2 linked regions of the Solanum lycopersicum genome follow. The protein of the gene in region 1 interacts with the protein of each later gene in a pairwise test. Links are inferred from orthologs where the notes say so. Each region holds a gene or a part of one and is shown on either strand. Other genes may lie near its edges.

What was found.
Region 2: the proteins of telomerase reverse transcriptase (region 1) and importin subunit alpha-4 interact in a two-hybrid assay, tested with the Arabidopsis thaliana proteins (2 studies listed by BioGRID, with this or other methods). The link is inferred for Solanum lycopersicum from reciprocal best matches to the Arabidopsis thaliana genes TERT and IMPA-4.

The regions. Positions count from the first base shown.
Region 1 is NC_090800.1:77,809,052-77,812,878, reverse strand, and holds part of telomerase reverse transcriptase, read right to left. Parts: intron 1,494-3,827; coding exon 1,430-1,493; intron 1,342-1,429; coding exon 1,047-1,341; intron 546-1,046; coding exon 419-545; intron 119-418; coding exon 1-118. UniProt on the Arabidopsis thaliana protein: Telomerase is a ribonucleoprotein enzyme essential for the replication of chromosome termini in most eukaryotes. It elongates telomeres.
Region 2 is NC_090800.1:86,575,258-86,579,588, forward strand, and holds the start of importin subunit alpha-4, read right to left. Parts: upstream 3,054-4,331; 5' UTR 2,812-3,053; coding exon 2,593-2,811; intron 1-2,592. UniProt on the Arabidopsis thaliana protein: Binds to conventional NLS motifs and mediates nuclear protein import across the nuclear envelope. Acts as a cellular receptor for the nuclear import of the virD2 protein of Agrobacterium and is essential for Agrobacterium-mediated root transformation.

The sequences.
Region 1 (3,827 bases):
TTGCTTCTGTGCATGCAAGGAGCTACCTCAGTAGAGACATTAACACCAAGGGATCCAAAAATTTCCTTGAAGAGTTCACGTGCTCCAGTAGAGTTTGGCTTCAAGGAATACAAGATGTCTGAGTATTCTTAAGTTTGTCAACAAAGTTTTCCCTAACGGTGGCACAGAGGGAAACAACAATCAGTTTCTATTTTAGTTCTTCCATTTCCTCGAGTGACATGGAAAAATAAAGACAGAAGCAAAACTCCTCTCTAATTAAAGGGAATGAAACCATTTAGCTCTTAAGAAGCAGAAAGTTTCAGAAAAAGTGTGAACAAGAAGTGGTGGAACTCCATCCCTTTCTTAATTTTGACTAGTAGCAATTGAAGTGAACCATAATATCAAGCCAGATTAGCATGGGGGGAAAGTAGAAGGATACGTTCGGACGGGAGTACTGATGAACAACTATCCAACTTGTACAACATGGTTCGCCTGTCGATTAGAATTCCCTTTTTGACCTCAGAAAGATGGTCAAAGACCGAACAACAAGAGCACCAAGCATTTGTCTGTTAATAAGAAAAAGGGAAAACCTTTTATTAAACCCAAAAAAAATGAGGGTGAAGATATAAATAGATGCTGAAATATTTGTGATCTACATGCAGAACTTCCTGAGTGCTGATTGTAAAAACTTTAACCTTTTTCATCAAAAAAGAAAATTTCTGATTGTTAAAATGGGGCTAAGGATGACTGATCCCAATACACACCCTTTAGCAATCCTAAGAAAGATAAGTAGGATTCAATCATTCAAATGCCTAGAAGTTATCAAGCTACTAAACATGCACTATAATCATCAAACTGCATCATTTCACAAGAATAAAATGCACATGCACTTAATGGTTATAAGATTGAAAACCTGCAACTGCAATATTCTGAAACATCATACAAGTTAGTGATCTCTTATCAGCATATGCATCACACGCAAAAAGGGCCATATTATGGTGTGTGAAAGACCACAAGCTAGATATAAAATCAAATTCGGTAACAGCAGTATAAGTTTCATAAATCACCTTTTCAAGAGGAGGTCTTGAATTTAAGATTACATCACTCTTCACATCTCCCAACGACTCGTCCTTAGTGTTAAAACTCATACAAGGGCTTAAGGAATGTGTTCCTTGAGCCTTCAACTGCCTAAGCTTCCTTTGACGCAGCCATTTAAACAGTCTTTTACACTTTCCATGCAATGGAGTATGTCTATTAGAGTAACATTGTCCTTCCCTCGATGGAAGAACTTCACAACAAGCAGAATTAACTTCAACAGATACTGTAGTTTCTGCAGATAACTTCTCCGTCTCACATTTTTTCCTGCAGCGCCAGGGCATGGAAACTATAATCCTACAATGACAGCAAAGCCAGCTAGTACAATTTACAGTAACAACATCAGAACACAAACCTAATCCCCATTTCTTTCCTTGCTGATGAGTAAACTTCGTCTACACTTCTCTTTTTCCTAGATTCTGGGATTAGCAACGGTTAAAAGTTTTAAAACAATTCAAACAATAAATCAGATCTACTTATGTTTAGCAGAAATCCACAACTTCCCAATATATTTAGAGATATATGAGAAAGAAAGAAATTATGACCACCCCGTGAAGCTAGACTTCTGGGAATTAAAGGAGGCTGCTCATTTGGTCTCACAGATTCAAGGCATATGCTGGTAAGGCTTTTTCTTCATGGAGACTATCTCTGTTTATTCCGAGACTATCACATATATTTGGGGTAAAGGACGAGAGTCGGGATGTTAATTATCAATTTAGAATTCAAAATGGACACTTTTGTTTAATCCAAAAGAGGAAACCTCCATTTCTCTTGCTTGGATATCTTTTCCTGATCTCCCCGTACAACTCTTTACTAAGAAGCTTTGTTTCCCATAGCTCCAGCAGTTGGAAAACAGTTAACTGTAGATAAAGCAATCAATGGTCAAACGAGGCCTAGTGTAGCTAGGGTCAGGTTGAGGTCGATTTATTATAAACTTTGCCGGATCAACATCAGAGAGGAAGCTGCATGTGAACTTAAGAAGTGTGGCAAGAAGTTGTATAAAATTGATTTCCTTCATATTACAAAAGTTGTAAACATCAAGGACACACTGATAACAATTGCAGATTGTCAGAATTAATATTAAAAGTAAGGATGAGGTAGATGCTTATGAAGAAGTGCACACCAAGTGGATTTTACGGATATTTTAAATGGCAAGAGGGGCAAGAAGAATATTTCAAGTAATAATGCTACGTAAATAGTAAATCATGGTAGCGTCAACAAGGGGATGGGGTACATTAGCTTTGATCCAGGAGTTTCATCCAATACTGATCAAGCACTAGCTACAGTTCCTGAATCTGGTGGAGCTAGTAAGAACAGGCAAGAACATGAGATTGTAGCAATTGCTACCACTGGTCAGATTAAAGAGGGACAGTTGCAAGCCCCAACTTCAACATGTATGAAGTAATAACTTCCACATGTAGGAGCATAAAAATTTCCTATTTTAAAAGCTTCTTAGTTTAAAAATTTCCTAGTGTAAAAGTTTCCTAATTTTAAGTTTCCTAGTAATTATCTCCATAAAAGTAATATTTGAATCTCATTCTATTTGGGATAGGTTTTCCCTATATATATGGAGTAATTCTTAACTTGATATCTTTGGTTTCTTCAAAAGTAAATTAAAAAAGGTTATTAGTCTTATACTGATAGTTCTCCCTAATTTCTTCGAAATAGGGGTCAAGGTCACTGTTGATCTAAGTTCTTGAACTGACTCTATAACTATCATAATTTGTTTTAATCCACTAATTTTGAATACTAAGAACAATTAGGGTTCTTAGCACTTTTCTTGAAGGATTTTAATCTCAAATTTCACATATCTTTCATCTTATGCTGTTAATGTTTTTAATTTTGCTTCCACATTAGTTTATTCTGGTAACCTGATTCTTATTACTATGGGTGAGAGCTCTTAATGTACTGACAAAGCTGGTAATGAGGAATTCATGATGGTTCACAATTCAGGTAAGGACGAGGGTAAGGTTTCTAGACTAAAACTCTTGCTATGCCTATCACTAGTCCTTATCAAAATGGGTTTGAAATTTTGGCAAAGGCTCGAGGGCAGGGCTTGCGACAAAAGGAGAAGGATAGTACTGTTTCAGATTTGGCATCAGGCAAGGGACAGAAAAACAGAGGGGCTTTCTTGGTCTGCATGAAGCTTCAAGCAACACAGAGACAGTGGCTTCCATTTAAAGATTTGAAACCTGGTTTTACTCAACTTTAAAAGCTAGCACATGAAGGTAGGATCGCCTGAGTCCATAATAGCAGTCCATCAGTTCACTCCCCAAACAATATGGGAGTCTAACTCACTCTAACACCCCGCTCACACCCGGGCCCAACTGGAGCATGCACCGAGAGCCCAAATGGGCATGGACCTACATCTATTACTATGTAATACAATGGAAGATCTTATTATATTCCAATATATGATCAAAGCATAAATACAATACATTTGGGGCTAACTTAGGAAAGAAATTCAGAGGGGTTCCTATAAATAAGATTCCTACTAACTGTAGCTATGTACATTACTAATATTAAAATCTAAACATTTTGTAACAGAAACTAAAGGAGCAATAGTCTCTTTCTTTGTGCAAGGAGAAACATTAATTTTGGCTGATTTATAACTGTACAAGGAGTTACAAGATCTGTCATTATTATTCCAGATATCACATTTAATGCTGGATGGAGGGACATTTCATTCAAGATTGCTTAGATTCATTAAAGAGGATACATGGCCATTTACTACAACTATGTCATAGTTAAGA
Region 2 (4,331 bases), about 8.8 Mb from region 1:
CTAAAAACTAGCAAAATCACCAACTTGACTAATTTTACTGAGACGTACAATCAAATCTGAATATATCATAATAGATAATCACATAAGGTCATAGATTAGATCTCATATACGAATTACTACATACTATTACAAATATTTTCACTTTATCTGGAATTTTTTAAATTGAAATTGAAGTTTTGTTTGGTTATAATTTTTGCAAATAATATTTGGTTGTTTGCAAATACTTTTCCTTTAAAAAAATGAAGTAAAATTTAAATGGTGTCATTTTTATAAAACAAAAAAAATTAAAGTAAAATTTGAAAAGGGAAAATAAAGTGAATGAAAACAGGGTGCTGGGTGTTCTCCAAATTCCAAATACAACTTCATGTTGGGCAAGAGGTGCTTTGAAAGCATCTATTGTTTCTTTCTGTCTGTACACATCAAATTTCACATTCATGATTGTTTTTTAATGACAAGGGAAACCCGCAACCGCTGCCTTTCGGGTTCGCACAGGGTAAAACCCCGCTCCTATGCAATAGCTCGCAAACCACATAGGAGAGGTAACCTGCATCAGGCTTGCCTGGTGTGACGAGCTTAACCCAGAAGGCAAACCCCTTGCTAACAAGGGGTTTCAAGCTTGAGGCCTCCAACATGGAAGTCCCAAGCTCAAACCATTGGGCCAACCCGAAGGGTTTTATGATTGTGTTGATGCTAGCATCATTCATCTTTTGTTCTCATCTCTTCTTTCTACAAAACCTTGGTCCTACTTCCTCATTAGGCTGCGGAACTATTGCTGAAATTTGAAACTATATTTTCTATTGAAATCCATGGCTGTACTGATACTGAAAGTTAAAAACAATGTTTTAACTTTTATTTCGTATGTTCAGATTTTAAGTTCTTGACCTTCCTTAAGTTAAAAAACAATGTTTTAAAGTGAAAAGCACAAATAACCAACAAGGTTCACAAGGCTTAAAGCAAAAGGTGAAAAGGATAGTGTACCCTTCTTTGAAGTGAAGTGTACAATTTACAAAAAAGTTAAAAAAAAGTTTACACTATGAATATAGTACTATAATAGTGAAATTGCAAATAAAATAACTAATCCCAGCATCCATTATACAATAACAGTGATATTAATCCAAATCCTTAAAGTTGAGACTCAAAGAATCAACTGCCTATCATTTGGAACTCTTTGCTCGTCATGTTTGAAAGGTCACTCCTCTGAAGCACATATAACCTCTTGCTTTGCATCACTTTAAGCAGTGGATGGATCAAAATTGCAATCACTTGGTTCATATTAATGGATTTCTAAATATAAAGAGTTTTATCCTAATTATGTTGAAAAACTTCCACACTTTCTAACCCATATGACATTTATTTTGATGAAGCACATACCTTGTTTGAAGTGTGAGCTTCACTTCTCATCAAAGAGAATAACATTATCAAACTGAGTTTTGCTTTTCGGTTTTCATGTCTGTTATTCATTTTTGGATGAAATAAGAATATTGAAAAAATGAATAACATATCCATAATTGACCTGGGGAACAATCAATTATAGACATGTTATTCATTAAATAATTACAGACATACTAACCCAAGATTTTCAACTTTCTTATTCACACTTGCAAAAAATGTCATATACAAATAAAGATGTGAAAGAAAGGTGAAAATAAGAACTCAATTACAAAAAGAAAAGTTAGCTCTAATTATGAATATCTGAGATCACAAAGGACTTACCCAGGAGTAGTTTCGTTGATTTAATTAAAATTATTGTGGAACACTATATCTAAAGTATGGGTTCCCTTTTAAGCTCTTGCTGAGTTTAGTCGGTGTGCAGTTCCAACATCATTGCTATGCTCTTTTTTTCCTTTTTTTTGATAACCATGGTGTCCGAACCAACTTGCATGCACCTCAACTAATTCACAAGATACATGCCACCTTCCACCAGCCATAGGTACCAAGCATCACTGCTACTTACTAACCTACTCGGTCTACCACTCCCTCAATTTGATCAACCAAGTGAAATTTGGCAAATATTTTTAACATTTTTTAATAAATGAAGAAACATTTTTATCCATTTCTTACTAGGATGGTGCAAAACTATATACAAGTGATTGTGTGTGGCATCCACCATATGTCTTTATAACCTGTACAAACTGGCATTCTCTCTTTACACCCAAAGAATTGAGTTTTCAAATTACAAAATAATTAGTTATGCATAAAATTTCATTTTGTCTATCCCAATGGTAATCCAAGGCTGCACATCTTTAGAAAAAGGTATTTTTAGCGGAGCAAGTCAGCATCTAATTCTCTGCAGTGCCAAAAAAGATATAATCAAAGTTGAATATCTGGTGTTTCTTGCTTATCGCAAAAATATTTCCAAACAATTAATTAGGATCTCAAGGTGGACTACTAAGTGTAGTCAAACTTCAGCAACAACAATTTTTTTCTAAAAAAGAAAGAGACTTCGATTAATTCACTTCACAAGTACAAACTTTAATCGACCAATCAAATCAAGAATCACCGCATCGTTGAGATCAATAACAAAATAAACAAAACCCATAAAAATCTCAAAAGGGTATATAAAAAATGGGTATAATGAGTTGAAAAAATTACCCTTTTCTCAATAGCAGCAGGGGTTTGAGTGGCATCGGGTAATTGCTGAGAGTGAAGAAGAAGACCCTCTCTGCGTTTCTTGAGAAGATTGTCTTCTCGCTTATTCTTCCTGATCTCAACCAAATTGTCCTCTCTCCTTCTACGAGCTTCATCTGCATCAACCCCAATTTTGTAAGATTTCTTGCGAACTTCAGTTCGATTGCTGGGTCGAAGAGACATTTTTTTTGTGGGAAATTGAGGGGACAATGCCTCTCCCTCTCCCTCTCTGTAGACAAACAAGACTGGAAAAGTGAGAAGAAGAGAAAAAGCTTTTAGAGATTGAAGAATTCTCACTTTGGGTATTCTTGTTTTTTGCTTTAAAGACACGTTACGGAAAATTACAGCCTAATTTTTGGTCTTTGTTTAACACTTTGGGAGTTCCTATTAATACATTTTATTTTATTTTTATCTCTCACGCGCACACCAAAGAGATAATTAATCTGTCTCTATTATTATTATTATAAATTTTATATGACAAATTTATACATTATTATAACATAATGAGATGGATGTTACGTATCCTATCGTAATATATAGTGCTATTTTAATAAATATAATGTTTGAATAATTTTTTTTGTCCTCTGTCATTATGTAACATTATAAATCAATATTTGAATGATAAATTTACTAGAAAAATAGAGTACATAATAAATCTATTAAAAAAAAATATAGAGTAAAAGATGAAATATGATATTAAATAATTAACAAAGACAAATTAAGAAGAAAATATTAAGGTTTTGATGCAATCACACAAAATTGATTGTTTCATAAAATAGGTTTTTTCATTGTTATCTAACGATAATTTCAACAATACAATATAATAAGATTTAAATAACAACAAAAATAGCATTATATTTTAACTAACAATACAATAAAATGAGTAACGAACGTCTAAACAGGGGGTACACATTTGCAAAATTATAACTGGATCATTTTATTGCAGCATGCATGTGTGAGTTTATACTTATTATGCATTTTTCAATTGCTCTTTTAATTTATCAAATTTCATGTATACATAGTCGTATAGAATTTTGTGATAATTAGAAAATCTAATGAATTTAATATATAAACCTGTTAACAATTAGAAAAATCTGATAATATGATGCTAATTGAGTTATAAGTAACAAAATATAAAAGTAAAATTAAGATTGTCCTATACTTTATATTTAATATAAAAAAAAAGATATGCATAAACACAAAGGATTACCTACTTACATAATTATTAATTTTAATAGAGATAAAGTATTTTAAAGAAAAGTCGTCGAAAGATAAGCTTTATCAAAAAGATAAATTCAAAATACGTCAATTTTTAATTTTCACAATTTTATTCGATAATGATGTTAGATTCTCTCATGTAACTGGAAAATCAATATATACATTCATTAAACTCGACTTTAATTTATATTTTTTAAACATTGAGAAAGCCTTTTTAATAAAAAAAAACAATATTTATCCTTCGGGGGTGGGCCAGTGATTTGAATTTGGGATTTGTCATAAAATAAAAAACAGTATTTTTTTCTTGGAATAACTCAATTGGTGATCAAAAATTCGATAAATCAAGAGAACACATAGTTTTTATATTTCGTGAAAATGTTAAAGTGTGTAACATTATTTAAATACACTTTTGTTAACACAATATTTATCCAAAAAATATTTATATTGAATAAAATAATAATCGAATTATATGTTATTTAAAGAAA